4 linked regions of the Lonchura striata genome follow. The protein of the gene in region 4 purifies or fractionates together with the protein of the main gene of each other region. This does not show direct contact. Links are inferred from orthologs where the notes say so. Each region holds a gene or a part of one and is shown on either strand. Other genes may lie near its edges.

Region 1 (6,702 bases), on a different chromosome or scaffold from region 4:
GGCGCTCACGGGCAGCCGGGCCCCGCGGGCCCGCCCGGGTCAGAGCGCGGAGCCATGGGCACAGCAGCGGGCACAGCATGGCGGGGGCGGCGCGGCGCGGGGGGCTCCGCGGCTCCGGAGGACCCTGCGGGACAGAGCGGCGGGGCCGTGACGGAGGGAACCGCGGGCCGGCCGGGGGGCCAGGGGCGGCCGCTCCCCCCACCCACCGGGATCCCCGGCCCCGGGCGCCCGCACGGCTCCCCGGCACCGGGCCCGCCGCCCTGTCCGGGCCCGCGTCCCGCTCGGCCCCGCGGTGCCGGGACCTCCCGCCTGCCCGGTGTCCCCCGCCCCTCTCCCGGGCATACCCCGACCTCCACCGGCACCAAGCCCGCCCGGGTCCCCCCGGCGGCACTCCCTGCCCACCCCACGCGGCCCGGCCGTACATGGCGCTGGCGGCCGCTCGCTCCCGCCGCCACCGCCGCCGCTCAGCGCCGCCGGGGCACGGGCACGGCCCGGGAGCGCAGCCCCGCCGCCATCTTCCCGCGGCCCCGCCCCGCGCGCGGCGCTTCCGGGGCGGGGCCGGCGCGCGCCGCATGCAAATCAGCGCCGCACCTCCGCCAATCAGCGAGAGCTCCGCTGAGAGCGGGGCGGAGCCACCGGCGCAGGCGCGCTACGGCCCTGCGGAGCGCGTGGCGGGAGGAGCCAGGCCCCGCCCCTCCCGTTGCCCCGCCCCCGCCCCGTTCCCGGTCTCACGCCGCCGCTGCCGCTGCCGCCGCATCCCCGACCCGCGGCGCAGCACAGCCAGGACGCCACGGCCGGTCACAGTCTTTCCGCTTTAATCGGAACGGCGGTGGGGGGTGGGACCCCCCAACACAGCATGGGAACCCCCGGGACAGTGGGAGTGCAGCCACCCCCGGCACCGGGACCGCTTGGGGGCACGAATTCTCCCCCGGTACAGGCACCTTAGGAGCGTATCCCGCCGGCACCAGGACCCTCGGCACCCCAGGGTTCATGTCCCTCCCCGGGCACCGGAACCCCCGGGAGCAGCCCCAGGGAGGGGCCAGGCCGTATTCCCAGGAAAAGCTCCGCGGGCACGGCCAGCAGCTCGGGCAGGACCGCACCCGAGGGGCTTCTGCACGCCAAGTGCATGGGGGGATGCTGCCAGCAGGGACGGAGGCACTGGGAGCCCCCGAGGTAGCTGAGCCCCCACTCCCACACAGCCCCTGTGTGCAGACAAGGTGTGGGTGCCTGCTCGGGACTCCGGGGCCCCCGGGGGACACAGTCCAGGGCCCAGCGCTCCTCTTCAGCCGCAGTGGGCAGGCCCCACGTGCCCCCGATACGCTGAGGGGGCTGGATGCAGAGTCCTCCACGTCCCTGGTGGCTCGGGCAGGCTCTGAGGTTCCCAGGTGCGGCTCCAGGTCCCACGTGTCCCCAGTGCTGGTCCGGGCCGCGCTATCTGCGGTACATGGCGAAGGCCACGAAGGTGACAAGCAGGGTGAGGCCGGCCAGGCAGGTGGTGGCGGTGGCGGTGAAGACGTGTCGGTGCTGCAGCTGCAGGTACCAGAGCAGGGCCAGCAGCAGCACGAAGAGGGGCAGCGCCAGGCTGCCCACGCCCAGTGCGGCGGGCGCGGGGCTGCGGGGACCGGGGGTGCCGGGAGCCGTGGGGGCCGCGCTGGGTGGGGACAGGTGGCAGTGCAGGACGCTCAGGTGGCCCAGGTGCAGCCCTGCCAGGCTCTGGGCATCGTCACGCAGCAGCTGCCCCTGGTAGATCAACCGCACCTGCTGCTCCTGCCCCGGGAAGTAGGTCCTGGAGGAGACGGGGACAGCAGTCACACTGCTGACAGGACTGACCCCCATCCTGTGCCCACTGTGAGCCCTCACGCCACCCGTGCCCAGCTGAGCCTGTGTGTCCCGGTCAGCCACCCCAAGTGTCATCCACATCCTATGAACGTGCCCACCCTGAGCCCCCACCCTGCCCCGCACGCCTGACCCCGCACGCTTGTGCCCGCCCAGCTGCCACCTGCCAGGACAGTCCCTCTGTTCACCCCCTGCCAACGCACCCACCACGGTCCTCCAGCCCTGCCCTGCCCGCACACCCGGGCGTGCGTGTGCCCATCAGCCAGCCCAGGCGTCCCTGCCAGCACGGGCTGTCCCACGGCCCCGCCGCCCGGGCACGGGCCGCTTGTCCCGGGCCAGCGCTGTCCTCGCCAGGGGCTGCGGGGAGGGCAGGGACGCCCGGCGGGGCCCGGGACCGGCCGCCCCGGCCCGCACGCCCTCACCTCTTGAGCGTACCGACGGTGTCCCCGGGGCGCACCCGCGCCAAGCGCTCCGTGTCGTTCAGGAACTTGAGCCGCAGCACCAGCGTGGGCTCGGCGGGGCCCTCGGCGGTGCCCGCGGGAGCGCTCCGGTGCCGCGGCCCCGCCGCCTCATCGGAGGCCGCCGCTGCTTCGGCCGGGGCCGGGGCCGGGGCCGGGCTCGGGGCCGGGGCCGGGGCCGAGGCCTTGCGCTCGGCGGGGGCCGTGCTCGGGGCCGCCTCAGCCGCCGGCGCCGCGGGCTCGGGGGCGCGCGTGGAGGCCCAGGCGAGCCCCAGCACGGCGGCCGCCAGCAGCAGCGCGAACAGCACCGTCACCTCATCGCCGACGCCCTCGATGAGCGCCATGGCGGTGGCAGGCGCGGGGGTCGCACCGGGAGAGGGCACCGGGCGGGCGCGGCCTCAGCCCGCGGGGCCGCGGGGAACCGGGGCCGCGGCCGCACCGGGCCGGGCTCGGGCCGCCATCGCGCCGCTTCCGGCCAGGCGCGGGGGGCCATGGGACGTGTAGTCCTGGCGGCAGGAGCCGTGGCGGGGTGGGGCGGCGCGCGGAGCACGCCGGGAGCTGTAGTCCCGTCCCGGCGCCAGGCACGCCCGGTGTACTCCCGGTTACTGCCGGCGCACCGGCATTCTCGGTGCGATCCCAGCCCCTCCGACACTCCCGGCGTTATTGCAGTAACCTGCAGGGTGTTCCCACACAGTTCCAGTGTGGTCACAGTTTTACCCAGCATGGGCCCAGCTGCTCCAAATACCATCCCAGTTGCTGCCAGCATGGGTTCAGTCACTCCTGGTGTAATTCTAATTAACCCAGTTAACCCCAGTGTGATGCCATTTGTCCCCAGTGTAGTTCCAGTTGCTAGCAGTCACCCCCAGTATGGCTCCAGTCACTCCCAGATACTCTAGATACTTCCTGGTTTAAATTCCTGTGCGTGTGTCACTTGGGGACAAGGGCAGTGGTGGCCAGGGCCATGCTGAGGGTGGGCAAGCTCAGGCATCTCTGAGAGTTCTACCCTCAGTGATTCTGGAGCTGTGAATCTCCAGGAGTGACCAAAGCTACCTGCAGGCTCTTATTAAAATCTTTTATATTAGGTGAAACATTCTTAATTTTAGGTTAAAAATTGTTAATTTTAGGTGAAAATGTCTTATTTTTTTGCTAGAAATTATTCATTTTAGGCGAAAGATTCTTAATTTTAAGTGAAAAGTTCTTGGTTTTATGTCAACAAGTCTTACTTTTAGGTGAAGAGGTCCATCCACGGAAATACTGCAACAGGGATGGGGGAGATGGGAACAAAATGATTCTCCCATACAGGACCATTGTGGATGGAAGGAAAATTCTGGACAACAATGTCCCCTGTTCCCAGAATGTCCCCTCTATGGGTCTCTCACTGGTGTGGCACTGACATTTCCTGGGATAAGATCACGAGGATTTTATCCTCCATATTATTTGTCCTGGGAAAAAATCAGGGTGAAATCAGGATAAAACCGGGAGGCATCAGCGTGCCAGGGCAGCCCCTTCCTGCTGAGGGTACGTGGGGTTGAGAGCCTCCGGGAGAGGAGTCACGGTTTCCGTGCTGGGATTCTGGGTGGGAAGGAGGGGCTGCAGGGCAGGATCCCCGAGAGAGGCAAAGCCCGAGGAGGGGCTGCAGGGGAAGATCCCCAAGAGAGGCAAAGCCCGAGGAGGGGCTGCAGGGCAGGATCCCCCAGAGAGGCAAAGCCCGAGGAGGGGCTGCAGGGTAGGATCCCTGAGAGAGGCAAAGCCCGAGGAGGGGCTGCAGGGCAGGATCCCTGAGAGAGGCAAAGCCCATCTGGGCCAGAGCTGCCCAGCAGATCCCAGCGCTGTCGGGGCAGTGGATGTGGCACAGCAGCAGATCTGAACCGTGGCTGATCCGTGCAGGCACAGAACCGGGATTTACCCTTCCCGACAGTGGAATGAGCCTGAATCCACTGCTGCAGGGGTTGTGTCTGCTCAGATTTGAGGGTTTATCCAGCGGTTCATCCCCTCCCAGATAATCCCAGTGTCTGGTTGTCACTGTGGATTTGTCTGCCTTCAGCTCCCAGAGAGTGAGACTTTTCCATCCTCCCTGTCTCGATTAAGAAGCTGTTTAATATTCCCCTGAAAGCTCTTCCCAGTCACCTTCAGTTCCCAGGAAAGCGGAGCGGACTGTGCTCCTCAGCTCTGCAGCCCGGAGCCAGGCAGCGTTTGTGTTGCCGTGCCCAGGGCTGCTCTGGGTCCCTTGGAGTTTTGATGCTCTCCTGAAGGAGCGGTGAGCTGAAGCCATGGCCAGTCCCGGGGGTGGGAACGCCCTGCCCTGCCCTGCCCGGGCTCTGTGGGCGGCAGAGGGGTGGTCAGCAGGGTGGGGACCCCCGCAGTGGCACCCAAAGGTGTCCCAGCCCCTTCCTGCAGTTCTGCCGTGCTGTGACGGTGGCTCTGCCCTCCCAGGGCACAGCGGAACCCGGCAGTGCCCGGCCCCTGGGCTGGCACTGCTGCGACCCGAGAAACACCCTGAGGGGCTGGAGTGTGTCCAGGGACTGGAGCTGGGAAGGGGCTGGAACCCCAGGAGGGGCTGAGGGAGCTGGGCAGGGCCTCAGCCTGGAGCAAAGGGGGATCAGGGGGGACCTTGTGGCTCTGCACAGCTCCTGACAGGAGGGGACAGCCGGGGGGGTCGGGCTTTGCGCCAGGGAACAGGGACAGGGCAAGTGGAAACAGCTTCAAGTTGTGCCAGGGGAGGTTTTGGATATTGGGGAAAATATTTTCATGAGAAGGGCTGCCCCACTGTGTTTCTGCCAGCGTTCATGGTCCCCTCATTCTGGTTACTCTTCATTCACCATTTCACCTTTCCTCAGTGTTTCTCCGCGTTTCTGCCCCCATGACTGGGCTGAGCCCCCCTCCTGTCCCTCAGGCCTTGCTGGGATTGCTGGCCCTGAGCTCTGGTCAGGACCTCCACCGTGCCCAGGGGGGTTTAATCCACCTTGTTCCATTTTCAGCCTCTTTCCCAGAGCCCACATATTCAGAGTCCAGCTGCTCTGGGGCTGTGGCCAGAGAGGGGTCACAGAGGGATTCTGCCCCAGTGGGGCACTGGGGACACCGGGACACCACCCTAGACATGGGTGTCCACCCTGTGGTGTCCCTGGCTCGCGCGGAGGCAGCGCTGGAGAGGGTCCCGGGGCCCTGGAGAGTCAGGCGGACACCTGGAGTGGGACAGGTCCCAGCTGCCCCCAACATCCACGCGCTGGCCTGCGGCATCGCGGGGGTGGCAGAGAGCCGCGGTCCCGGCGGGTCACGCTGCGGGGCCGGCAGCCGCGCCGCGTCCCGGCACAGCGCGGGGCCGTGGGCTCCGCGTGGGACCCGCCGGAGCCGCAGCGAGCGCGGCAGCCGCCGAGCGGCGGGAGCCGGGGCGCGCCGCACAGCGCTGCTGCGGGTCTGGGTGGCACCAGCGGCACCCCCGTGCTGCAGAGCGAGATTAGAGAGCCGCAGCTATTCCGGGGAAAGCTGCTGCCTGAGCCGCCGCCCGGAGAGAGCTGTCCCTGCCACTGCAGGGCGACGTGAACACCTCTCTCCCGCAGGCAGTGCTGCCGCGCAGCAAAGCGCCGATGTGTTCGGAACAGGAGCCGCAGCTCTGCTGGGTGCACCGGAGGACAGCAGCCCGAGCTCCCGGAGACGGACGGAGTTTCCTACTCCCCTTAGTCTGGGGGAGAGGAGCAGGGTCCCCAGCCGGGTCCCCAACTGTGCTCTCAGCTCTCACAACAGACATGTCCCCACAGAAAGAAAGCCCCGGTTTTTATTGCAAGACTGATCCAACACCTCCGTGTCTCAGCGCTCTGAGGAGCCACAAAGCCCTGGAGAGCCCCCGGGCCTCCTCTCTGCCCATTTTGCTCGGGCAATGACTGAAGCTCAGCTCTGCGCCTTGGCCCCCCCTCAGCTCTGTTCTGGGGGTGCTGCTCTCCAGCCCCGCGTCCTGGGTGGACATTGGGGGTCTGCTGTGGGGACCCTCCTGCTGCCCCACATGGGCCTGGCACTGTCTGGTGTCACGGAATGGTTTGGGTGGGATGGGCCCTTCACAGCCATCCTGCTCCACCCCACTGCCATGGGCACCACAGGTACCAGGGTCTGGGGCTGGGAGCAGCAGCACGAAAAGGAGGGGGAGGAAGAGGAGGAGGAGGTAGTGAAGGAGGTGGCAGCTCCTCTTGGCAGCGGTGCCGGTTTGAGGCACTCACGAAGTGCAGCCTCAGATGGAAGGGCTGCAGATGGAGCAGAGAAAGTTCAGGATCTGAGCTGAAATCCATCCTGAAAAGCAGTTCACATCTTCAAGTGGCCCGTGTCTGCAGAAGGCAGGTGGTTGCCCATGCCTGAGGGAATGTCTGCTCCTGAAAGCCTCGGCTTGTCCCCACCCGCTCCTGCCTTTTCAGCAGATTGG
Region 2 (7,543 bases), on a different chromosome or scaffold from region 4:
ATGGGCTGGAGCTATTCTTAGCAGTCTACAAGGAGGCAAAAAGTAGCTGATCACCTGTTGCCATGTAAACCAAATTCAATTCATCACACACTTTCTCCAGAAGGGTTTCATGATGTGAAGGAACAGACCAGGAGGAATGCAGCTATGATCACATCCCTCTGCCATGCAAGCCTGGCACAGGATTTAATCCTTTCAGATGGGGCCTGCACAAGCAGCAGCACAGCCAACTGCTGTGTGAGGAGAACAATGTTCCTTTCCTCAGGGACGCCAGTAGCACAGGAAGTCACTTAATTAGTCTCTCAGGCCACTGAGCTTTTAGAACAGATGCTTTGCCAATTAATTTTCCCTCATCTGCAGCAACTCTTGTTGTTAGGTTTTCTTTCAGTTTCCTTCACCCATCACAACCACCTGCTGTTTGCAGAGCAAAATCATCATTCTTTTTTCTTCTTCTTTTTCTTCTTCACAGCTCCTGGCAGCACAGAGTTCTCTCTGTGATGGCTGTTCTGTCTCTCCTGCTGGCCATTTGCAGACACCAACCGAGGCAAATCTTTGCAGATCTGGTCACACTCTGCTGGGTCTATTATTTTCTCTTGAATATTATTGTCTCTCCTCATTTTCTTCTTCTTCTTCTTCTTCTTCTTTTTCTGATTGGGTTCCACATAACTCTGACTCTGATCCTGGCTGGAGCCCTGGGACCATGCAGGGAAAGCACTTTGCTTCAGAATATCTGCAGCTGACACGGCAGCCTCCTGGCACCTTTGCCATTCTTGCTCACTGTCTGTGTCACTGGAAAGGCAACAAGAGGGAAGGAATTTGTATTGTATTTTTTCCTTGAATTCACCCAGAACTTGAACAGCAGAATAATCTGAGATGAGAACACACGATAAACACCCAGTGGCTCTGAGACTCCCACACCTACAGTTTGCATTTAACCAGTCTGAAGGCCAGTGTGCTCTTTACACACACTAGGAGGAGAAAGAAAATCTCCCACAAACGTTTCTCATTCTCCAGCACTAAAAAAGTAACAAAATTCTGGTCTAGTCAAATATAGGAGTCATAAATGCACACTTCTCAAGCTCTTCAGCTTCCTATTCCCTTGTGGGAGTCTCAGCTGCCTCTGAAATGTGGGATGCAACAGTACCTGAGGAGCAAAGCAGCTGCCAGCACCTCACCTGGAGCTAACTGGCCTCCTCCTCCTTGCTGCAGGGCAAGGCTCCGGCTTCCCACAGTCTCCAGGGACAGAGGAAGAAAAGAGGCGGAAACCTGAAGTATGGAAAGAGGGGTTTTAGGCAAAATATAAAACAGAGGTGGAATCAATCAACTGCTCTTTTCCTGGAAGCCTCAGTGCTGTTTCTGTATTTCCACAGTGCTTGACAGCAAATATTTGGGACTGTGTGGGAGGACCTGGGGCACAGAGGTCAGAACTGAAAAGGAGCAGCTCTCATAGACACCACCAGAAGTTCTTTCAGTTCAGAGCAAATGTTTATGAGACACTGGGATGCACTGTCCTGGTGATGGACAGGATCCACCCCACCTGTCAGCAGCCAACAGTCACAAAACAGATACAAAGGCTGAGACTGGAACTCACCATCATCTTCAGAGTCAGACTGTGCCAACCAAGTCTGTGATGGTCCTGATGAATCCTTCAAGACAGTGATGACACTAAACAGAAAATCCCAGTCAGATCTCAGACAGGTTTGTGCACACTGAGCTACAGGTGGGTATTTCTGGGAAAGAAGATTAGAGGGAGATGTTGCACAGATCCTTTTTTGTTAGTGAGGCTGCCTCAGCTCCCTGTTTCCAGAGCAGACCAGGCCTTCTCTCCTCAGCAATGAGGAAGAGAAGAACAGTTTGAAAACAGTGTTTCTGAAGCCAGCTCTGAACAGCAGGAATTCCAGTTCCTCAGGGCCATCCTTGCCTAATAGACAGAGGGGCAGCCCAGTATCATTCTGCCAGCACAGCCCTGATTCAGGGACTGGTGGAGGTTGTGAGAACAAGATTCTCTCGCCAGCCTTTACAGGATGGACGTCTCTTTTTCTCCGCACAAGATGTTCACCACAGAGGCAAATGAAGACACCCAGTGCTGCACAGAGAGTTTTGACTAGATGGGCACAACACATCAGCAAGGTTAGGTCACAGAATACTGGAAGTTTGTACTTAATACAGGCATGAAGGAGACAAGATGTTGACTTTCCCGTGTTTAGCACACAAACACGTCAGTGTAACTGACCCACAGAACACAGGTTTCAAGCCTTGCACACCAGTACCTGTCTAGCATGGTTCCCAGTTTCTTTGCAACGTGTGCTCTGAACTCTGGAGTCGTCTGGAGCTCATTGTCACCCTCCTCACGGCCGATTGCCTCACGCCCGTTTGAAATAAGAACAAGGATTATCTCTTTCGAGGCCAATAATATCTGTCCCTCTCACCCAAAGCCTTAAAAACATATTATCCTGTACAAATTTAAGCATAATTTCAGATTATGGTTGGACTAATTCCCCAAACAGAAACTTCCCCTTTCAGTACGAAGTATCATAAGGTACAAAGCAGAAGCAGCAAAAATATTGCACATAAATTTTTTCTTAATGGAAACATTAAGTCTGAAACCAGAAGCAAAAATACCTCAAGCTTGGCTGATCTTTAGGCTGCAACCGATCCTTTCTAAAGCCCCCTGAAAGGAAAGCAGCAAAGCACACTTAGAGACTTGCCAGAACTTCCTTAACCCCCGTCAGGCACATGTCAGAGCATAAAAACAATGCCTGAAAGACAGCCCTGGGCCGCCTTCGGGGGAGAACAGTTATGAGGGGAAAGGGGAACTCCCCTCAGGCCAGGACTGCCGGGAGGGGGCTCTGGGCCGGGCTGGAGGCCGGACATGGCTCGGGAGGGTCGGGCAGAGCCCCCTCGCTTCTGACACCGGCAGCGCGGCACAGAGGAATCCCCACGGGTCAGAAGTTGCGGAGGGGGCCGGACCGGAGCGGCGGGGCGGGGCGGGGAAGAGAGAGGAGGGCACGCCGCAGCGCGGGGAGCAGAGCCCAGTCTGTCCCCCGCCCTCTCACCGCCGCACGGCTCCGCCCGCGCCGCCGCCAGCGCGGTGCAGTCCCAGGCAGCCTCCCGGAACCGCGCGGCCGCTTCGCCGCCGCTGTCCGAGTCCGAGCCGGTGTCGCTGTCCGGGCCCGAGACGCCCCTGGGCGCCGCCATCTTGCAGGCGCGGGGCACGCTGGGCGCTGTGGTACGGCCGCAGCGCGTGCCGGGAGCTGTAGTCCGGCCGCAGCGCATGCCGGGAGCTGTAGTCCAACACCGTCCCTCGTACCCGACTTTCATAAACTGATCCTTGTTTTAATCAGCTTTTGGAGGATCCGGTTCATGTCTGTGGGGCCCTGGTAACGTTCTAATCAGTTACTACACTGACATGAAAGTTTTTGCTGGGGCATAGAAGCTGTGCCAAGCTGTGCTGGTGGAAAACGAGAGAGTGGCTTTGCTGGAGATTTTCACCGCTCTGCAGGTAGGAAGGACTGCTTTGTGTGCTCCTCATGCCATCAGCGCTGTCACGTTAAGTGCTACATTTTCAAGTCATCTTGAAATTTTCTGGTGTGAGACAATGTGTTTGGTGACTCCAGGTGGGCTTCTGGATAACCATTTTGCTGTGGGTTTTGCCAAGCCTGTGTGCAGGAAAGCAGCAGAAAGATTTCGTATAACTGTTTTTATCCTGGTGGACACTTCCCGGCTTGCACCTTCCAACCTCCACGCCAGAACTCTGCACTCTCAGGCTGCCTGGCAGCAGACAGGTCACTGCCAATATCCTTGGGCTCTTTCTGATGGGTTCCCTTGGCACTAACTTCCCTTAATTTCTTCACTATTCCCTAATAAAACTCACCTGCTATAGTGGAATACCTTGGTTTAGGATTTACCCGTTCTCCACCATGTAAAGAACAAGCAATTTTGGGCTGTTTTGTACCTTGGAGTTCCCAGGACTGGTGGGGTGCCCTCAGAGCTGGGACAAACCCTCCAGAAATGCCTTCTCGGGCAGGTCACCTCCTCTCCCTCGCTTTGGTCCCTCTGGTTCTTTGGTTTCTCACAACTGTATACATACCTTTATCAATCTCTAAATACCTTTATCCAGCTCTCTGTTTCCGTTTCCATCCTGGAGATTCTCAGCTCAGATTCTTTCCATCCTGAATCCGCTTCTCGGCTCAGACTCTTAGCACTCTACACTCCTAAGTCAACACTTCGTTTCCCTCAAACTTACGTCCTTCCCTTTCCGTCCTTTTCTTTCCTCCCTTCCTGCTTGGGCCGAGCTTTCTCGGCGCGCTCCTGGCAGTGCCCGGCGCCGCCGTTCGGAGCGGCCCCGCCCCTCCCCGGGCAGCAGAGCCGCCCACGCCCGCAGGACCGGGGGTCGCGGCGGGGCCGAGCGCGGGCGGGGCTGCCCGAGGTAACGGGGCCGGGGGCCGGGGGCCGCGAGGGGCGGCGGGGCGGGGGCCGGGCCCTTCCGCCGGCCGCGCTTCCGGGCGGTCAGGTGACGGGCCCGGCGGAGGGCGGCTCGGTTCGGCTCGGCTCGGCGCGGCTCGGCGCGGCTCGGCTCGGCTCGGCTCGGCGCGGCGCGGCGCGGCGGGAGCCGCCGGTGAGCAGGGCCGGGCAGGGCCGGGCCGGGCGCGGTGGGGGGAGCCGGGGCCGCGGCTCCGGGGCCGGGCCGGGCCGGGCGCTGCGAGGCCGGAGCCGTCCCCGCCGCGGAGCGCCGGCCTCGCCCGGTGCCCTGGAAGCGCGGCCGGCGGGCCCGGGCGAGTCCCGAGCTCCGCGGCTTTGCGGGGCTCCGCAGGTGCCGGCGCCGAGCGGGGCCCGACCCGCCGCCCGCAGCGAGGGATGGCTCGGGCACGGCTCGGGCACGGCTCGGGCACGGCTCGGGTACGGCTCGGGTACGGCTCGGGGCACGGCTCGGGCACGGCTCGGGGCACGGCTCGGGCACGGCTCGGCCACGGCTCGGGCACGGCTCGGGCACGGCTCGGGTACGGCTCGGGGTGTCAGCTGCTGCGGCGGGACACCGGATATATTTTGAGAATTGCTCGTACATTAAGACTCGCTTGTTACTTCTTAAATCACGTCTGTTGTATGTAAAAACTGCTGTGTTTGATATTTTTACGTTTTGCTGCTAACCTGGGTTAGCCAAGCACGTCTCTCACACGGCACTGCAAACCAGGAAAACGCTGGGGCAGCATTACCCAACTGGTTATATTCCTTTTTTTTTTTTTTTTTTCCCCCTTTGGACTTTGTGAGGTAAGAGGATAAAATCTTTGTTGAAAGATTTTTCTTGGAGTCTATATTAAACCTTTATGGAACGGATAACAAAAAAGCAGTTACTTGAATCATCCGAGGGTTTTTGCTGTTTGCATTTACAAGGTACATGGACTCCTCGGTGTTCCCAAAAGAGCCCTTCAGCCTGGCAGCACTGACTGTAACACAGATGTGCATTGCAGAATCCCAGTTCATGAAACGAGGCCAGCAAGGGCACGTTGGACTGGAAGGCAAATGGCTGCTTTTGCAAGAGCAAGTGATCACAAGTGAATTCATGTTTTGGGACCACTTTGTGGTGATATTAAAATGCAGGTGCCCAATACGGGTTGCCGGAAGTGGAGAGATGAAACTTGAGAAATGTTTCCAAGGAGTTAAAATGTAACATGTTTGGGGGATAGAAAAGAGTAAAAAGGTAGTGAGAGATAAATATGTATTTAATGATTAACAACAGGACACTCATTCGTTTGTTAAAAATATCTAAAATGACTGTCAAGAAGTCAGTGCACTTTCTTCTAGGCACTGTCAGCAATTTTCAGCTAAGGTTACCTGGTTGTACTTGAAGCCCAGGCAATTGTAATATGTTAAGTTTCAGATTGTTGTTAAATTTATGAGTGGGCATATTTATATAAACTCTCAGTAGTAGTTTTAGATTTAAATTTATTTTCTAATTTGAATTTTCCTTTTGTAAAATTTTTCAGTGTCAGAAAATGACACTATTACCTTAGGGATAAGAAAAATACACTGACAAATCTTTTTGATTTAAACTGCAAAAGGTTCAGGAACTAAATCAGAACTTGTTTCATAAACAAACTAGATTTAGATTATTTAAATTTCAGTAATCTTAGTTAAAATAAAATTTATTAGGAAAGAAATATGGAAAAGGGTCTTTCCTGTGGAATTGACATCCAACAGTGCTGCTCTTTTTATTTCATTGTTATGGCAAAGAGGAACAAACTTTGGGTTTTGTTAATAAACTAGCCAGACTTCTATATTCTCACCAGAACTTTTTCTCATTTTTTCATGAAAAAAAATAAATACTTGAGACATCCTCATGTCATGCTGTGAACACGTATTCCAGGACTGTTTTCTATAGGTGAAATTAGCTTCTAATTTATAGTCCCTCTTTGCCTTTCTCAGGTTGAATTAACATTGAATTAATGCTGTTTCCAGCAGGTTTTTTTGTGTGTACCTTAACTTATGGTGAAAACTCCCCTAGCCTGTCTTGAAGTGTTTTTCGTGTGTTTTGAGGGCTAGGCAGTGTACTTTGGCAAATGCAGTCATTTGCTGAGTTCAGAAGTGTGATCTTTGACAGTAGCCACTCAGCTCGTGCTTTCCTGGTGTACAGTAGATTTACAGATGAAGTTTTTAAAATATTAGGGGAAAATTTCTTTCTGACTGAGATCCATACCCAGCCCATGGACATGCCCAGTCCCCTGCACTTACTCCTGTCGTGGACCTCCTGTGCTCTCAGCTGTCACCACACGTTCAGGTCCTTCTGGAGTTCCACCCTCTCATGTACCTCCACTTCCATGTCTTCATGCTCCACCAGGTTTCTGTATTTATTTAGGAAGCCTACTTGCAGATGAGTTCCTTGTTTCTTAACTGTTCCTCTGCTGCCACTCTTGATTCTTGGTAGTAAACGTCAGTCATTTTTCAGAAGAACCTGTTGGGGTATAACATAGGGATTGTGGTTTAAAGGAAATAAACAGCTAATCTAGATGGCTTTTATGAAACAAAGATAATGTTTTCCTGTAAATATGTAGAGAGCAAAGAAGTAAGAAAGAGAAAAGGCAAGATCTCAGAATGCCTGCAGTTAGGTATCAGCTGATTTTTATATCCTTTCCCTTGTTTTGTTTGTTGCTCATCATGCCTCCAGGGTTGATTTGGAGACCTGATCTGATGGATAAGTTTGTAGCAAACCTGCAAACCTTGACTGGCATCCCTCAATTGTGTTTACTTAACCCCAGAAGTCATATTCTATCTCAGTGTACTCAGTCTTCCTCCCAAACTCTAAAGCAAATTGAGAATGGGGTTCATTTGGCCTGTTGTGTTAGTTGTTGATTTTTTTAGTTTGTGATTTGCATATGGTTTATTGTTTTGTTTTTTTTTTTTCCTAGAGAGTTTTGTCTCAGAGTTTAAGAAGTTTGAGTGTTCGATTTTGAGCTCATTGTTCACTCAGAACAGGTTCCATTTGCAGTTGAATTCCTACTTTGGGATTCACATTACACTCACAAGCTACACATTGTATGATTATCAAATG
Region 3 (8,369 bases), on a different chromosome or scaffold from region 4:
AATAAATGTATAAATGGAAATACAGAAAAATTAGAATATCAGCAATTTTAACCACATCTGGACAGAACAGCTTGCCTCAGTAAATAATGTTTATGCTAGCCTCACAAACCTACTGTCATCACCAAAGAAGTAACTTTTTCAGCAATATAACCAACAAACAGTATTTTTTCTTAATGAAGTTTAGATTAAATCACCATTTTGAATACCAAGTATGAATTTACTGAACTCTCTGCTACATAAATATGCAGAACTTTGATGATGAATGAAATCAAAAGAAAGGCAAAGGCACTGCCTTTGTGTCAGGACAGAGGTTCATTGACAGGGAGTCAGTACCCACAGCTGCATGTGGGATGTTGGTTGGCTAATTATATGATAGCTGTTACATGGATTTATAGACATTTGAAGACTGCAGCCTGCATGGAATTGTTCTTTCTGTTTTGTTCTGGTAAAAAAAAAAAAAAAAAAAAAGCAGCTAGAGAAACATCAGCAACTAAACAAAAAACATTCAATTAACCTTTGTCATATGCCCACTACAATATTATTAACTACACAAAGACAAGGCTTTGTTCAGATACCTTAAGGTTTAATTTCCATGTTCAAACTCCAGCTATTGTTCCTCACCCTCAGATTATGTAAAAGCAGCCAAGTTTTTAAGCTCTGCTCACTGCAGATGACTCACATTATTATACACTAACCAGCATCACACTTTGTTTTTCCCCTTTGTTTTACATGCCTGAAGTGTTCTGGCTGGAGTTTGCCTAGTTCAGAGCTTGTACATTCTGCATCCTGCATCCTGCCCTGTAATCACTCCCTGTCCTTCTCCTTTCAGTTTTTAACGAGCTCCTGCACTGGGGCTTGGGCAATCTCACAGAGCCACCCTGGAGAACTCTGCATACACCATTTACATCTCAGGTGTTCTGACCTCTGAGAAGGAACCAGGACATCAGTGACAAGTGCTGTCCTGCATGGTCCTCACTGGGACCAGTGTTATTGAATGTCTCCATCAATGACACAAAGGGATTGGAGGCAGCCTCAGCAGGTTTACAGATGACACCAAGCTGAGTGGTGCAGTGGCCACACCTGCAGGACCTGGATGAACTTGAGAAGTGGCCCACAAGAATGTCCTGTGGTCTAACAAAGCCAAGTGCACGGTGCTGGGTCTGGGCTGGGGCCACGCTGGTGACAATCCAGGCCAAAGGATGAACAGATCAAGAGGGATTTGGGGGCCTGGTAGATGGGAAACTAGACATGACCTGGCCATGTGCACACCCATGTCCTGGGCTGCGTCCAAAGCACCGAGAGCAGCAGGGAGAGGGAGGGGATTCTGTCTCTCTGTTCTGCTCAGACCCCACCTGGAGTGCTGCATCCAGATCTGGGGTCCCCAACACAGGAAGGACATGGATCTGTTAGAGCAACTCTGGTGGAGGCCACCAAGATGATCAGAGGGATGGAGCACCTCTCTTACAAGGAAAGGCTGAGAGAATTGGGATTGCTCAGCCTGCAAAGAGAAGCCTTCAAGGTGACCTAATTGTGACCTTCCAGTACCTGAAGGGAGCCCACAAGAAACATTGAGAGGGACTTTTTACAAAAGCCTGAAGTGACAGGACAGGGGAGAATGGCTTCACCTTGAGAGTAGGTTTAGGTTAGATAGCAGGAAGAAATTCTTTATTGTGAGTGTGGTGAGACCCTGGCACAGGTTGTCAAGGGAATTTGTGGATGTCCCATGCCTGGAAGTGTTCAAGGACAGGTTGGATGGGGCTTGAGCAACCTGATCTAGTGGAACCCCCATGGCAGGGGGTTGGAGCAAGATGATCTTGAAGGTCCCTTCCAACCCACACCATTCTATGATTCTGTGATCTGCAGGCTTTGCTGCAGGTTCCTGAGAATTCACACAAGTACACTGGAGACCATTGATAAAGCAAAGAACTCAGGATGACAGACTGCTGCTGAAGTCGAAAGATTTTTTGAACTCTTGCACATAGGGTTGGCATAGGGAATCAGACAATGAATGTCACTAAATCCTTTCATAGAGACACAGGAGATTAAGGCTGAGCATATGACACTGGGAAGGTTTCTATTCTCTGTATCAATAGGAGAAATTCTTGAAGGTGAATAAAGTCAAAAAAGTCTCCAGTGAAGCAGAGGGAGAGCAGTTTTACACATAAAACAGGCCTTGCTCTGTGATTCTTCACCACTGCCTTTTGAGCTTTTATCAGCAGACAGCTCATGTTTTGATCTGGTTTAAGTAGGGAGAAAAATAACTTGTCCAAGTATCCTAAACTTCCCACGTAAGAGGCCCATGAGACAGCCCTCATGAGGCAAGCACATTGTCAGATTCTAGAACATCACAGAGTTTAACACAGAAAGTGTGAAAGAACAGGTGAAATTATTTATTTATGTAATGAGTAGCAAGGCTGAATACTTAGAGATTCTGCTGCCTTTGCTAAGGGATGAGATAAAAATAACGATGTCATTAATCTTACAAAGACATGTGAGCGCTTCTTTCCAGAAATAACTGTTAAGCATAAAATTTCAGGCATTAATCAAAGCATGCTGAGGCCTAACCTTCCTTAGGATTCCAAAAAGAAATGTAAAGCAACAGGACTGTAAAGCAACACGAACAAAAGGGGCATTTAACCTTCATTCTAAGTGTGTAACTTTGGGGAAAATATGCTCAGGGACAGGTTATTGACTAGTTTAGATTTGCACTGATTCAGCTGGTTTTAGCAAAGCTGCAGCAAGTTTTACCCTCTCAGAAGTTGGTCTCTGTTGTCTCAAAAGAAACCAGGAAGAAAGAAGGGCACCACCACATGATATCATGAATATGAAAAAAATGCATATAAAATATTCAAATAAAATATTCTGCAGGAAATAGCAAAAAAAGCATACTCACGAGGAAAGGAAAAACACAGGATGAAAAAAAAAATTGCTTAAGAGGTTCTTTTAGGAAGGAAAACTAGCAGATGCAGCACAAGGGAATATAAACTCTGCCCAAACACTGAAAATATGGGCAAGATTCAGGGGGGGAATTTAAATACAGAAATATATTTTTTCAAATAAAGTAGAGATGCAGCACAAGCAAGGATGAATTATATTTGTTTCCCATAAGCCAAGTCCAAGAAGAGATTTCCTACAAAGATGAATCATTTTATCTCAGATCCACAGTCCTGTTGATAAATCTCAAAGTAAGTGATTCACCAAAAAAGAATATTTCCCAGGGAATGAGTTCTAGCCCTTATTTAGAGCTGTTGAAGGTGTTTCTTAGTGGTGTGGGGATGCAGATAAATTGTCTGTGTCAATTCAAAGCTTGTACACAGTGGCCATGAGGGGAAGTGTTAGGTCTGCATGTGATTTCCTGAAACAAAATGTTGTGCAGAGGAACCCATAAAAAGCTGACAATATATCAAGGCTGTTTTCTCTCAAAATAGTTGACTGAAACTTTTTGTGCAGATCCAACTGGGTCAGAAAAAAATCCAAAAACAAATGGAGAAAGAGAAATATATTGTGTCTTAAAAAAAAATCTGACAGAAGAATCTGAACAATTTTAGCATATTAAAGTAAAACCAAAAGCTGTTTCAGTACTGTAAATAGCAACAGAAACTGAGTATTTACAATTCCACTTACAGAGGACACATGTACCTTGGTTCAGCAGTAAAGTCTGCCAGACATTACTGGGGTGATCCCAGCTGGCATTAAGAGAAAAATACTGGGCTCATCTGTCACTTCCAACAGTGGCACTAACAAATCTGTCCTGTACATTTTCCAAAGGCACTTTGCTCAGCAGGATCAGTTACGCTAACTCTTCCTATCCCAGCTAGAAAGGGATAGCCATATCCCAGGTCAATTTTACTCTTCATTAATGCAGAGAAGACCTGCCTCTTTCCATATCTTCAACTGATTTCATGTATTTTATTTGCTACGTTTATCACATCAGTGAAAGACGACTGGAACCACCACTGAGCACTGATCCTGGACCATCGTTGTGCCCATCATGGGCATGGCTAACAGCTACCCTTGAATGCTCAGTGCCATCCCTTGGGAAGCCCTTGGGTCCTGTATTCCTCCTAAGTGTAACAATGGCACAACCTCATGTGAAAAGATCTGCTGGACCATTGAGGCTAGCGAATAAACACGAAGCCCAGCAATTCCTACTGCAAACGCCAGCCTCCCATGTGTCCTGGAGAACCAGCGTCTCAAAAAGGCATCCTGGGAGCTGAGTCCTGCTCTGTGTACTCATTTTTTTGGTGCTGAACTCTACCATATAATATACAGCTCACACTTAACCATCCCTGACAGGCCTCTTCCCAAACCCTTGCAGAGTACAGAGGGTGAAGTTGTATTTAACTGGGTTTTTGTTATTTTGGTCTGGCAGGATTGTGACCTGAGCTTTGCTAGTGCTGGCAGAGCAGCTGCTCAGGCTGTCAGGGCCCAGTCAGGAGCCTCGGATCCTCCGGTCACCCCATGGCTGGCTGCTGACGCAGCGTCTGGCTTTGGCACCACCATCTTACGGAGTCATAGCCTTGGCAGGATCCCCTTACACCATTTTAGAATTATGACAGAGATCAGTGATCCCTTCGTCTTCAGGAGAGGCCACAGCAGACGCCTTCAGCCTTCCCCATTACTAACTGCCATCACCCAAAGGGACACGCAGCAGGCTGGGCAAGCACACGAAGGTTTGCCTGCAGCGGCCACTGACACTTGGGCTTAAAATGAGTCTGGGGAGATTCAGATTATATAGCTGAAAAAAAAAAAAATCACTTTTAGGGTGGTCAGGCATTGGGATAGGTTGCCAAGGGAGGTGGTGGAGTCACCCTGCAGGTGTTCAAGAAGTGTCTGAAGCTGGCACTGGGTGATGCGGCTTAGTGGTTTAAGGGCTACAGCGGCGCCACTGGGCTCACAGTTGGACACGATGATCTTAAAGCTCTCTTCGAACCTCGACCATTCCATGATTCCGTGACAGCGTCACCACCGCCGGCATCTCCATCCCTCCACCGCCCTCCCCTTCCCGCCCGGGAGCGGCGCGCATCCCGGGCGCGCTGCCGCCGCCGGCGGCGCGGAGCGGGCGGAGCGGCGGGCCCGGGAGGCGGGTGGTGTGTCCCGCACGTCATATCAGCCGCCCGCCCGCCATTGGCTGCGCCGCCTCACCCGAGCGGGGCCGCGGCCGCCCGGGGCTGGCGCGGCGGCTCCCGCGCCCGGCGCTCGCCCCGCCCGGCGGGGAGGGGACGGGCGGGGCGGCGGCGCGGAGCGGAGCGGCGGGCCCGGCGCTGCCTGCGGCCGCGGGTAGGTCGGCGGCGGGTAACGTGACATCCGCGGCTCGGGGTTTATAAACCTTACCCGGGGCGCGGGCCGGCGGCGCGGCGGCCGGCGCAGCCCCCCTCTCCATCCCGAGGTGAGCGGGACGCGGGTGCCCGGGGACAGACGGACGGGCCCGGGCAGGGAGCGATGCCCGTCCCCGCGGGGGCGGCGGGCCGGGGTCCGTGTGCTCCCGTGGGGACGAGGCGGCGCAGCCCCGGGGTTGCTCGGCCGGGCCGGGTCACCCCGCATCCCCCGGTGCCCGGCCGGCGCTGGAGGATGCGGCGGTGCGTGTCAGCGCGGAGGGAGGCGCGGCCCGACCCGTTGCTGGGGCTTTAGTAGCGTGTGGTTGTGCGTGTGTTTCAGGACTCCGGAGAAGCCAATGCCCAGGTTGGAGAGCTGCGCCTGGAGCTGTTCCTGCACCGCCAGAGGAAGGCACAGGAGCCAGCTGGGGGACACGGCGGCGGGGCTGGCCGCCAAGGTGGGCGAGATGCTGAGCTCCTCCGTGTCCAGCCCCTCGCTGGCGCTGGTGGGTCGCGGAGCTCGCAGCCCCAGCACCTCCAGCGCCAGCAGCACCGCCAGCAGCGCCAGCAGCACCTTGAACTGGAGTCAGCACCTGGTGCAGAGGAGCGTGGTGCTCTTCGTCGTGGGTGCTTTCATGGCCCTGGTGCTGAACTTGCTGCAGATCCAGCGGAACGTGACTTTGTTCCCCGACGAAGTGATTTCTACTCTCTTCTCCTCCGCCTGGTGGGTGCCCCCGTGCTGCGGCACAGCAGCAGGTGAGTGCCTGACCTCCACCAGCGATTTCAGCTTTATTCCTCATCCTCTCGCGGAGGAGGAGAGGCGGTGGGGCTGAATGCTTGAGCCGTGCGCGTGGGAGCCCCGCGTTTCCATCCCACAGCGAGAGATGCGAGCTCGGGCACTCGGGAGGGTGCGCGCCCGGTCCGTCCCCGCGTGTCCCGGGGCCGCTCTGGAGGCGGTGCGCTCTGAGGGCGGCCGAGAAGCGCGGGCTCCGCGCGGGCTCCGCGGGGCGCGGCGGTGAGCGCGGCGCGAGCGCGCTGGCCCCGCCCCCCGCCGCCCATTGGCTGCCGCCGAACTGGTGAGTGGCGGGCGGCGCTCGCCATTGGCTGCGGCCGCGACTGGCCACGGGCTGGGCCACAACAAGGAAGTCACGTGCGGCGGCGCGCGCGGCCCTGTCGCCACAGCGGGCCCCGCCACCGGCCCGGGCCCTGCTCCCGTCCCTGTCACCTCTCTGTCCCCTCTCTGTCCCCCGTCCCTGTCACCTCTCTGTCCACCGTCACCTTCCTGCCCCTGTCACCTGTGTGCCCCTTCCCCGCTGCCCCCGTCACCTGCTTGCTCTCGCCACCTCGCCCGCTGCCCCTGTCACCTCCCCGTGCCCTGCCTGCTGTCCCTGTCACCACTGCTGGGCAAGTACCACAGAAGGCTCAGGCCGCGGTGTGGTTGTCACAGCAGCTGGCGCATACTTCGTGGTTTATCATTCATAACACCCCCACCCCCCCCCCCCCCCAGTCCCTCTGTCTAGGCAAAACAAAGTTTTGGTGAAGGGTTGGAGGATTAAAAATGGAGATAAATTTTAGGAAACGAACCCACTCTTAACAGTTTTTAATTTGCGTTGAAAATACTTTAAACAACTTCTGCATATTTTTGTTTAATGCATATTTTGTTTAATGTTTTGTGTGATGTCTGCTTGTATCACACAGTGAAGGGGGTATGAATGATAAACCATAAACTCGAATAAATAATGAACTGTGTTAATTAATGGATTACATTAAAGGATGAACATTAAAGGGATGGCCTGGGATATTCTCCAATGAGAGTTCTTGTAGTCCTGTCACAGTTGGATTAAACTTTGGAATTCAGGTGTTAGCATAAGTTAAGAGTCCTGGTAGCTGGTGTCAGAGTAATTAAGCTGTTTCAGAACACGTCTCTATTGGAATAGCATGTTCTCTAGCCTTCTCTAACACAGAATTTATTACTCTTAGGAGTTTAAGGAATTAAAAAAAAAAAAAGAGCAGGAAAGGAAATAAATAAACACAGAAGTTGCACTTAGTAAAAGCAGCACATCTAACCCTGGAGTTGGTGACAACTCAGGGAGTTACAATCCCTAGAAGAATGAAACTCTGGTGTTCTTGCCAACAACTGAGCTAACACTGGCCTATGGTTTTCTTCTGCAGCCAACTTTCAGGCTGATAAAGGCTGAAAAATGCTTTATGGAGATAAAAACTTTGTCTTGTTAATTGTATGAGTAGTTATTTTTCCCTGATATAAGTAGACTGATGGCAGCTGCTTGTTTAAGTTCAGCTCTGCTTCTGTTTGGTATCAAAATTCATCTGACAACATGGACAGGAGCCCTGGGCTGACTTACAGCCCAGCAGAAAGAGAGAAAGCAGCTCTGCTAATAAACTTTTTAAGTCCAGGCAAATACTTAATTCAGGGCCTGATTCACAGCTGATGAATCATGTTCATAAAGCTGTCAGCCCTGCACGTGAGCAATGAACACAGATTGCACTCCTCGCAAAGCTTTTATTGTGCTTTGCTTTTATTGGTACAAGTGTTTGCTCAGGATGTCAAATGACAAATCTCTTTAAACAAAAGAGCTTCAAGTCAGATACCTTAACAATGCAATATATATTTAAAGGTTCAAAGAGAATGCTGCTTGTTACACTGGGGTTTTCACTTCTCTAAAGAAGAAAAGCTGGGTAATAATTGTGCTTTCTCCATCAGGCTTACAGCGGTGCGATGAGCACCTCGTTGCTTTCTCAAGCCCTTATGTGCCAAGCTAATATTTGGTGGTGCTGGAGTAATCCTTGCCTAGCAGCTGGTCCAAGTGGTGTTCCTTCTCTTGCAGCTGTGGTTGGCCTGCTGTACCCCTGCATTGACAGCCACCTCGGGGAGCCCCACAAGTTCAAGCGGGAGTGGGCCAGCGTCATGCGCTGCATCGCCGTCTTCGTGGGCATCAACCACGCCAGCGCTGTATCCTTCAGCTGCTCTCTGCTCCAGTGCTTGCTCTGTGCTCATCACACTGTCTCTGCCACTCGGGTCTGGGGGGGATTGCC
Region 4 (8,117 bases):
GCAGGACACGAAGCAAATGGAAAGGCAGGGATGGGAAATGGCAGCACCAGTTACTTTAACAGGCTGCAAAAATCATCAGTAATGTCTCTTTGGCTCAAAGAGTCCCAGAACTCCAGCGTAGCTGAGGATTTCAAAAGGAAACACAACCTAAAACCCTGCTCTGATGAAAGCTCCAAGGAGGGCAGTGCTTCCAACTGGGGCCTGCTGGGAAGTGCAGAGGGAAAATCAAACAGTAACAGCCTTAAGAGGGATCACATCACACTCCTGGACTGTTTGCTTTGGTCCCAGTTTCCTATCTGGAGCTCAGGCTCCTAAGGAAGCCCAGCCAGGAGTTTGGGACGCAGCTGCTATCAGTTCCCTGCACCTGCTGGCAGATGTGGGGGCAGAGGGTGACGTGAGGCCGCTCAGAGTGGGGCACAGCCCCACTGCAGACCCGAGCCAGACCCAGGCAGCTCAGCCCAGGGCTCCCAGGGAGTTTGCACAAGTTCCTTCTGTGCAGAGCGGGAGCTTTCAGCCCATTTCACACAGCAGCTGCTGACACCTGGAGCCTCCACGGGCCAGGAACCCGCCCAGCCACCAGCAGGAGCTGGGAACTGGAACTGGGGGGATCTGAGCCCCAGGCCCACAGCTTGTGTGGGAAGGGGACCTTGGAGAGCCTGGAGAGAACAGGAGCCTGCAAGCAGCCTGTGCTCACCCTGGCACAAAGCCTGTCCTGCTGGGCCCCTGTGCCCACAGCCAGCACTGCCAGTGCTGGCAGCCTGGGAGGATTTCCTGCCAGCCCAGAGCCAGCTGCACTGGCAGCTGCTGGGCCAACCCCTCCAGGCAAGCACAGCTTCTGCTCAGCCTCTCCTGCCCTGTGCCTCCCTGGTGGCCCCCGCCAGCACTCCTGGTTCATGGCACTGCAGCCCCAAAGCTCAGCCAGCCTCGGGCCAGTGGTGCCTGCTCAGAGTTTCTGTGACAGCAGAAAATAGTCACTGTCTGTGGCCACAGCCCGCTCTTCCATCTGCCTCAGACAGCCCTGTGACCCATCCAATCCATCACAGAGAATGCCACAGAATTCCTGCTGCCTTCCCTAAAGGGAGGCTGCCTGGGCTGGGCTCGGAGCTTGTTGTTAGCACACACTGCAGCAGTCAGCTCCAAAAGATAACAGGATGAAGGCTGACAGCTGGCTAACAGCCCCAGCTCCAGGCGGGATTAATGGCTAACAGCCACCAGCGGGCTCTGAAGCAGCAGCAGCAACTCACCAAACAGCTCGATGTACACCTCCTGCAGTGTGTGCACACTGCAGAACTGGTTCAGCTCGTGGTGGATCTTGTTGAAGATGAGAGCCTTGTCGTAGTCAGCCGTGTAGTTCTTGACGATGTCGTACACTGGGAGAGGAGAGCAGAGAGCAGGGCTGGAGCAGGGACAGGAGGCTGAGCGCTCAGGGAGAGCCCTGGAGCTCGGCCTCAGGGCAGCATGAAATGAGGGCCCCCCCTGCCCTCAAACCTGCTCAGGGCAGGTTTGTTTACTGCTGCTGTTTTGTGGCACTCTCACCCACGTCTGCCCCCTGCCCTGCGAACAGGAGGGTGTGAAGCACCCCCAGGCTGTGCTGGGGCTGAAAACACACACACACACAGACACGCGCACACACAGACACGCGCACACACAGACACGCGCACAGAGACACACACACACAGAGACACACACACAGAGACACAGAGACACACACACACACAGAGACACACACACACAGAGACACACACACAGACACACACACACACAGACACACACACACACACAGACACACACACACACACACGCGCGCACACAGACACACACACAGAGACACAGAGACACACACACACACAGAGACACACACACACAGACACACACACACAGACACACACACACACAGACACACACACACAGAGACACACACACACACACAGAGACACACACACACACACAGAGACACACACACACACACAGAGACACACACACACACACAGAGACACACACACACACACACACACACCACACACCCCTCCCTGCCCAGCCAGGCACTCCCAGGCTCAAACCCAAAGGATCTGGGAAAAGGCTGCCCAGGTGGCTCTCCCTGGGCTGCTTCGCTCACAGACCCTGCACCCTCCCTGACTCCACGGTGCTGCACAAAGCTCAGGGGCTGGGATAATGCAGGTGATACAAGCAGGAGACAATCAACACCTCACATTCCCAGGGCAGGGGTCAGAGGTGACAGCCAGGGCTCTGCCAGGTGCTGGGGGCACACCTGAGGGACAGCCCGGCTCCCTCCTGGGGCACACCTGAGGGACACACCTGAGGGACATCCCGGCTCCCTCCTGGGGCACACCTGAGGGACATCCCGGCTCCCTCCTGGGGCACACCTGAGGGACACACCTGAGGGACATCCCGGCTCCCTCCTGGGGCACACCTGAGGGACAGCCCAGCTCCCTCCCCAGCCCCAGCACCTCCCTCACTGCAGCACGGCCCCGGGGCACAGCTGGGACTCACCCGCGCTCTGGATGAGGAAATTCACCACCTCGATCCTGTCGAAATAAATCATCACTCCCCCGCTGCAAAGGGAGAAAGCACAAAATGATCCTTGCAGGAAGGGACTGACCCCTCCGGTGGGACCACCCAGCACACCCCAGCCCCTGTCCCGGAGCTCCCGGTCCCGGGGAGGCCCTGCAGAGCCTCCCGGTGAGCCCAGCCGGGGCTGCAGAGCGGTTCGGTGTCTGAGGAGTCTCTGGGACGAAAGGGAAGAGCGAACTCCTCACCTGGTGCCGCACGGGACATTCTTCACCTCGTCCGTCTGCAGCGTGGTCTGCAGGGGATTGAAGGAAAGAGGTTTAAGAGAGGGATTTCCCCGGCACAAATCCCACCGAGCTGGCGAGAGCCGCCTCTGCCCGGTACCGGCACGGCCGCAGCCGCGGCCAGCCCGGTGTGACAGCCGGGCTCCCCCGGTGCCCGCCCCGCCCGGGCCCGGGCCCAGCAGCACCTGCACTGACTTGTAGGACGTGATGAAGGGCAGCATGAGGTGGAAACCGGGCCCGCTGGTGGAGGTCAGCAGCGCGCCGCCACTGCGGAGGGAACGGGACGGAGAGAGAGAGAGAGAGAGAGGGGGAACGGTGAGCGGCGGCGGCTGGCCGGGGCCCGGCCCGCTCCCCGCACGAGGCCCCCCGGGCTGTCTCACCGGTAGTAGACGCCGATGTGCCCCTCGTCGATCTTGTGCACGGCCGAGAGCAGCGCGGCGGCCGCGACGCCGAGGGCGAGCGCGGCGATGGCGCCGAGCTGGGCCATGCCCGGCACCGGCGGCGGCACCGGCGGCGCGCCACTGACGTCATCGCCGCGCGCCCGCGCCGCCGCCGCCAGGGGGCGATGGAGGAGCGGGGATGTGGCGCCGGAGGCCGCGGGTTCGAGACCCGCCCGCGCCCGCCGCGGGTCGCGGTGCGGAGCCCCCGGGGCTCTCCCCGCCCGAGCCGGGCACAGAGCGCCGAGTGTCGGCGGGGACAGCGAGACTCGTCCCGCTGCAGCCCTGCCACGGGCCGGGATAGTCCCATTTCCACTTCCCACTGTTCCACGTTTCCCACCGAAGATCCTCCGTGGATCACCCACGGGGTGATCCAGTCCGGCTCCTGGTCCTGCACACACCCCAACAACCCCACCGTGTCCCTGCGAGCGCCGGCCAAATGTCCGAGCAGGAGCCTGGATTCCCCTCTGGCAACTACTGTTCTCAGCCAGAACATTTTCATTTCACATTTATATCGGCGCCCTCCCCCGGCATCGCCCCGACACGGACCCCCCGGCTCGCCGGGCCTGCTTTGGGCAATCTCAGGAAATGGGATGGGCCAGAAAACAGAACCGTCCAGCTCTGATCCTGGAAAGGGCCTTAAAAACCACGGGAGAGACGGATAAAACGTCAGTAAGGGAGAATGATTTGATCTTTACTCGTGATGGATCTCCGAGGTTATACATAACAGCCCTGTCAGGAGGGTTCAGCGCCATTTAGGAATAAGGAATGAAATATCCACGATATTTGTCAATCCAAATTTTACAGCTCTTAAAGAAGCGCAAAAGGGCGCCAGAGATGAAAAACACCCTGTAGTTGGTGTTTTTTTAAAGGCGGTTGCCCAGATTTAAGGCCTTGATAAAATGTATTAAATCTTTAAGGGTTTTAATGAATCTAGTGTGTGTTTCATAAATCACAAACCTCTGCTCAGCCCCTCTCAGTTTAATAAGGGTAAACTAGGAAATTGCTCTGAGCTGGAGCAAAATGCATCCATGGAATATTGAAAAGTAATAGGTTTTTAAATGTGGGGTGTTCTGGCTCACAGGAGAGGTTTTGCTTCATAACAGCGGCACTATATCACTGCCCTGAGCGGGAAACCAGCTGCGGCCACGTGTTTAACAGCATCAAGATGTGAACCAGCACAAAGGTAAATATTATTTGTAATAATCCTAAAAAAAAAAAAATGAAAGCCAAAAAAAATCATTACCGCTGGACTTGAAGCCAGGAACATTCAGTGGTGTCTGTGCCACAGCTCTCGGGGTTTTAACAGGGCTGTTTGTAGGAATAAATGGTTTATTGCACCCAGTTCTCTCCAGCTTGTTCATCCCTACCTCATCCCCCTGCCCTTGTAAAAATCTCCTGTGGGGTTTTCTGTGGAGTTCAGTGAGACCATCTGGGGGTCTCTGGGTGCTCATGGCTCCAGACTCGTGGGGATGGAGCTGGGATGGGACCCAGGCAGGCCCTGGGTGGGATAAGGGCAGAGCTGGGATAGCCACGGGCAGAGCTGGGATGGCCACGGGCAGAGCTGGGATAGCCACGGGCACAGCTGGGATGGCCATGGGCAGAGCTGGGATGGCCATGGGCAGAGCTGGGATGGCTGTGGGCACATTTGGGATAGCCATGGGCAGAGCTGGGATGGCCACGGGCAGAGCTGGGATGGCTGTGGGCACAGCTGGGATGGCCTGGGCACATTTGGGATAGCCATGGGCAGAGCTGGGATGGCCATGGGCACAGCTGGGATAGCCAAGGGCAGCCCCAGTGGGACAGGCCCAGCTCCATCCCGGCAGGCCCAGCTCAGTCTTGGCACAGCTGGCTCAAGCCTGGCTCAGTCCTGGCAGGCTTGGCTCAAGCCCGGCTCGGTCCTGGCAGGCCTGGCTCGGTCCTGGCAAGCCCGGCTCGGTCCCGGCAGGTCTGGCTCAAGCCCGGCTCGGTCCCGGCAGGTCTGGCTCAAGCCCGGCTCGGTCCCAGCAGGTCTGGCTCAAGCCCGGCTCGGTCCTGGCTGGTCTGGCTCAAGCCCGTCTCGGTCCCGGCAGGTCTGGCTCAAGCCCGGCTCGGTCCCGGCAGGTCTGGCTCAAGCCTGGCTCAGTCCTGGCAGGCCCGGCTCAGTCCCGGTGGGGCAGTGCAAGGCGCGGTGTGAAGCCTGTCTGCCCTCGTTAGCTGTCAGCAGTAACAATGCTGGGCTGGCAATAAAGGCAATTCCGAGGCTGTTGGCCATTAATCACCGCCTGACAGCTGGGAATGGGGCTGGAAAAACTCTGTCCCCACGCTCCTGCTTTGGCGTTTAAGGTTACCTGTGCAGCTGGAGCGGGGGGGTGGAAAGCTCTGCTCGCCAGTCCTGCCCCAACCCCACTCCTGTCTCCATCTCCATTTCTACCCTGTCCCAGACCCCATCCCAAATTCTGCCTCCATCTCTAGTTCCACCCCATTTGTGGATACATCCCATCCCATTGATCCCATCCCATGAATCCCATCCATGGATCCCATCCTATCCCATCCCCGCTGTCCCCTAGCTGAAACCTGAAGCAGCAGTGGAGCCCAGGAAGGGAAATCCCTGGGAGGAGCTGGGAGGCCGGGGGTGCTTGGCTGGGCCCCTTCCTGCTCTGCTCCAGCTCTGGCTCTGGCAGGCAGGGCAGGGCAGGGCGGGGATGGCAGGGGCTGTGTGGGGAAACGCTTCCCCAGTTCTGTCCATTGGATGTTATTTGCTGATTACGGGGCAGAGCTGTGTTTGAGAGTGTCCGGGCTCGTTCCGTGTCAGCTCTAACAATGCAGCTCTTGGCAGCGCAGGCAGCTCGGTGGCGTTGGCCATTAATCATCCCCTGACAGTCCGGAGCTCACACGTGGTCCTGGTGCCCCCTCCCCACGGCCGGCGGGGCAGGGGGGCTTCCTCCACCTTGGGCCCACCCAAACCCATGAGCTGAGGGTCCTGGACCCACATCCCCTCGAAAGGGCGTGTGGGGCGGGTGGAGAGTGGGGAGACATTCCTGCCCTTGCCGTGGGGCAACCAAGCTCCCAGGGAACAGCCCCTGGGAGGAGGCTCTTGGGAAAGCACTACAGCACGTGGCATTTCCAGCCTTTTCCTGCCCACCACCACCCCCTCGCTCCCCCAGCCCCTGGGCAGGAGCTGGGTCTGTCCTGGGGGAGGTGATCCCGCTGGGAATCAGTTCCCAGCACAGGAGGGGAGCTCTCCCTGAGGCTTCTCTCCGCGCCCCTCATCGTCCCGCAGGCGCCAGCCCTGTGGCTGGGTGCCAGCGTGCCAGGTCATCCCCCAGTAAATAAAGGAGCAATGTGTTTCCAGCCCCCCAATGCTGTTTTCTAAAGGGAAATGATTAATGGTGCTTGGAAACCACAATTCATCCCGGGAAAGAAAGTAGATTTACCCGAAACATGCGTGAGAATTAGTGCTGGGATGGGCTCCTGGGGCAGAGGGGGGAAAGCTAATGGCAAACAGAGCCCGTCTGTGCGCAGGGGGAGGGAATGGCCTGCCAAAAACATGGGCTGGAGGAGCTGGGATGGAGCTCCAGGAGGAGGAGAGTGGCCATCACAGCCAGGTTCCCTCCCCAGCTGGGAACCTCGGTCACTCCTTCCCTGACCCACAGTGAGATGTCACGGTGGAGAAGGGAATTCTCCTCTCACGTGTGTCCCAACAGCACAGCAAAGGATGGATGGTGCAGATGGCACCAACACTCACCTTTCTCAGAAGTCCAGGGGATACCTGGGACAAGCAGGAGTTGCACCAGAACCATGAAGCTCGGGCCTGTAAACGCCAAATGCTTCCAAAATGTCTGTTTTATGCTCAGGGAATGTTCTCACCTTGCTCCTGCTGGGGGGATCCACTGGGATAACTGGGATGGGCTGGGGTGCACCACAGCACCACGGAGCCTTCCAGGTGCTTCATTCCTGAGCAGGAAACCTCAGAGAAGGGGAAAACACAGTTTTTCTCTGTAAGGGTCAAAGGGAGGTGGCTGTGGCAGCCCCGGCATGGAGTGTGGGAGCTGCAGCATCTTCCTGCTGAGCTTCCAAGTTCATGGAAAAGGTTTTCAGACACAAATCCTGACCTGGTTCTAAGCTGCCGTGCTCTTCTGTGCCCAGGAGAGCAGCAAGGGAGGGGAGCAGCAACAGGTGACATGAATTTATCACCTGAATCCAGAGATAACCCCAAGATCCTGCCTTTACCTCAGTTCTGGATCAAGGCAGCAGCTGGCTCCACGCAGATCATGTCCAATCAGCAGCGTGGAGGAGCTCGGACAGGGCTCTAGGAGAGAGATTTATCTGTGGGATTCCAGGAAGGGCTGGGGAAACCTCGGTGAGGTGCTGACGCCCAGGTCAGGAGTCATCCCTGGCTCGGTGATATATTTAGAGCAGGATAATGTAAGTGACAGGAGGGAAAAAAAATTTTAAAAGTCCGTGGAGGAGGTGCAGATCCGTCCCCTTGGCTGGGAGTTACTGGATGATCCGAGCCAGGGAACAGATAGTTGGATTTCCCTTATTTCTCCCTTCAAATAAATCACAGCTCCAGAGGCCTTTAAACTCTGCAACATGATCTGTTCCAATAAGGAAGGGAATGAAAGGCTGCGTCTCTCTGGAAGCCTTCAGAGCCATAAATCTCCTATGTACAAACACAGACCAGATTTCCAAGTGCATTTATTTTATTGTATTGTTTTAACAGAAAAATCAAACTGCAATAAACTCCGTCCCTCATTAGCTGTCTCCATATCCAGGCCAAATGTTGCTAACGAATAAAATCAGGACAAAGGAATGTGGATGTGGGTCCAAGTCCTGGCCGGGTGCTGACCCCCCAAAAGGCATTTCCCTCTGAGCCTCACAGAGG

Evidence for each region.
Region 1: the proteins of ERLIN2 (region 4) and TMUB1 purify together in Homo sapiens (affinity purification with mass spectrometry; 4 studies listed by BioGRID and IntAct, with this or other methods). This does not show direct contact. The link is inferred for Lonchura striata from reciprocal best matches to the Homo sapiens genes ERLIN2 and TMUB1.
Region 2: the proteins of ERLIN2 (region 4) and RNF185 purify together in Homo sapiens (affinity purification with mass spectrometry; 5 studies listed by BioGRID and IntAct, with this or other methods). This does not show direct contact. The link is inferred for Lonchura striata from reciprocal best matches to the Homo sapiens genes ERLIN2 and RNF185.
Region 3: the proteins of ERLIN2 (region 4) and INSIG1 purify together in Homo sapiens (affinity purification with western blotting; 4 studies listed by BioGRID and IntAct, with this or other methods). This does not show direct contact. The link is inferred for Lonchura striata from reciprocal best matches to the Homo sapiens genes ERLIN2 and INSIG1.

What each region holds. Positions count from the first base shown.
Region 1 is NC_134603.1:156,868,487-156,875,188, forward strand, and holds TMUB1 (transmembrane and ubiquitin-like domain-containing protein 1), read right to left. Parts: upstream 2,685-6,702; 5' UTR 2,639-2,684; coding exon 2,259-2,638; intron 1,787-2,258; coding exon 1,432-1,786; 3' UTR 799-1,431; downstream 1-798. Other genes in the region: FASTK (fas-activated serine/threonine kinase), read right to left, coding at 1-79. UniProt on the Homo sapiens protein: Involved in sterol-regulated ubiquitination and degradation of HMG-CoA reductase HMGCR. Involved in positive regulation of AMPA-selective glutamate receptor GRIA2 recycling to the cell surface.
Region 2 is NC_134620.1:4,592,310-4,599,852, reverse strand, and holds the start of RNF185 (E3 ubiquitin-protein ligase RNF185), read left to right. Parts: upstream 1-4,319; 5' UTR 4,320-4,426; intron 4,427-4,526; exon of another isoform or gene 4,527-4,615; intron 4,616-7,543. Other genes in the region: C18H12orf43 (protein CUSTOS), read right to left, coding at 432-786, 1,173-1,263, 1,589-1,662, 2,268-2,367, 2,621-2,668, 3,054-3,318. UniProt on the Homo sapiens protein: E3 ubiquitin-protein ligase that regulates selective mitochondrial autophagy by mediating 'Lys-63'-linked polyubiquitination of BNIP1.
Region 3 is NC_134603.1:149,213,721-149,222,089, reverse strand, and holds the start of INSIG1 (insulin-induced gene 1 protein), read left to right. Parts: upstream 1-5,215; 5' UTR 5,216-5,280; exon of another isoform or gene 5,281-5,389; intron 5,390-5,658; 5' UTR 5,659-5,674; coding exon 5,675-6,071; intron 6,072-8,161; coding exon 8,162-8,286; intron 8,287-8,369. UniProt on the Homo sapiens protein: Oxysterol-binding protein that mediates feedback control of cholesterol synthesis by controlling both endoplasmic reticulum to Golgi transport of SCAP and degradation of HMGCR.
Region 4 is NC_134634.1:4,280,972-4,289,088, reverse strand, and holds the start of ERLIN2 (erlin-2), read right to left. Parts: upstream 3,324-8,117; 5' UTR 3,301-3,323; coding exon 3,194-3,300; intron 3,081-3,193; coding exon 2,999-3,080; intron 2,825-2,998; coding exon 2,778-2,824; intron 2,574-2,777; coding exon 2,512-2,573; intron 1,371-2,511; coding exon 1,245-1,370; intron 1-1,244. UniProt on the Homo sapiens protein: Component of the ERLIN1/ERLIN2 complex which mediates the endoplasmic reticulum-associated degradation (ERAD) of inositol 1,4,5-trisphosphate receptors (IP3Rs) such as ITPR1.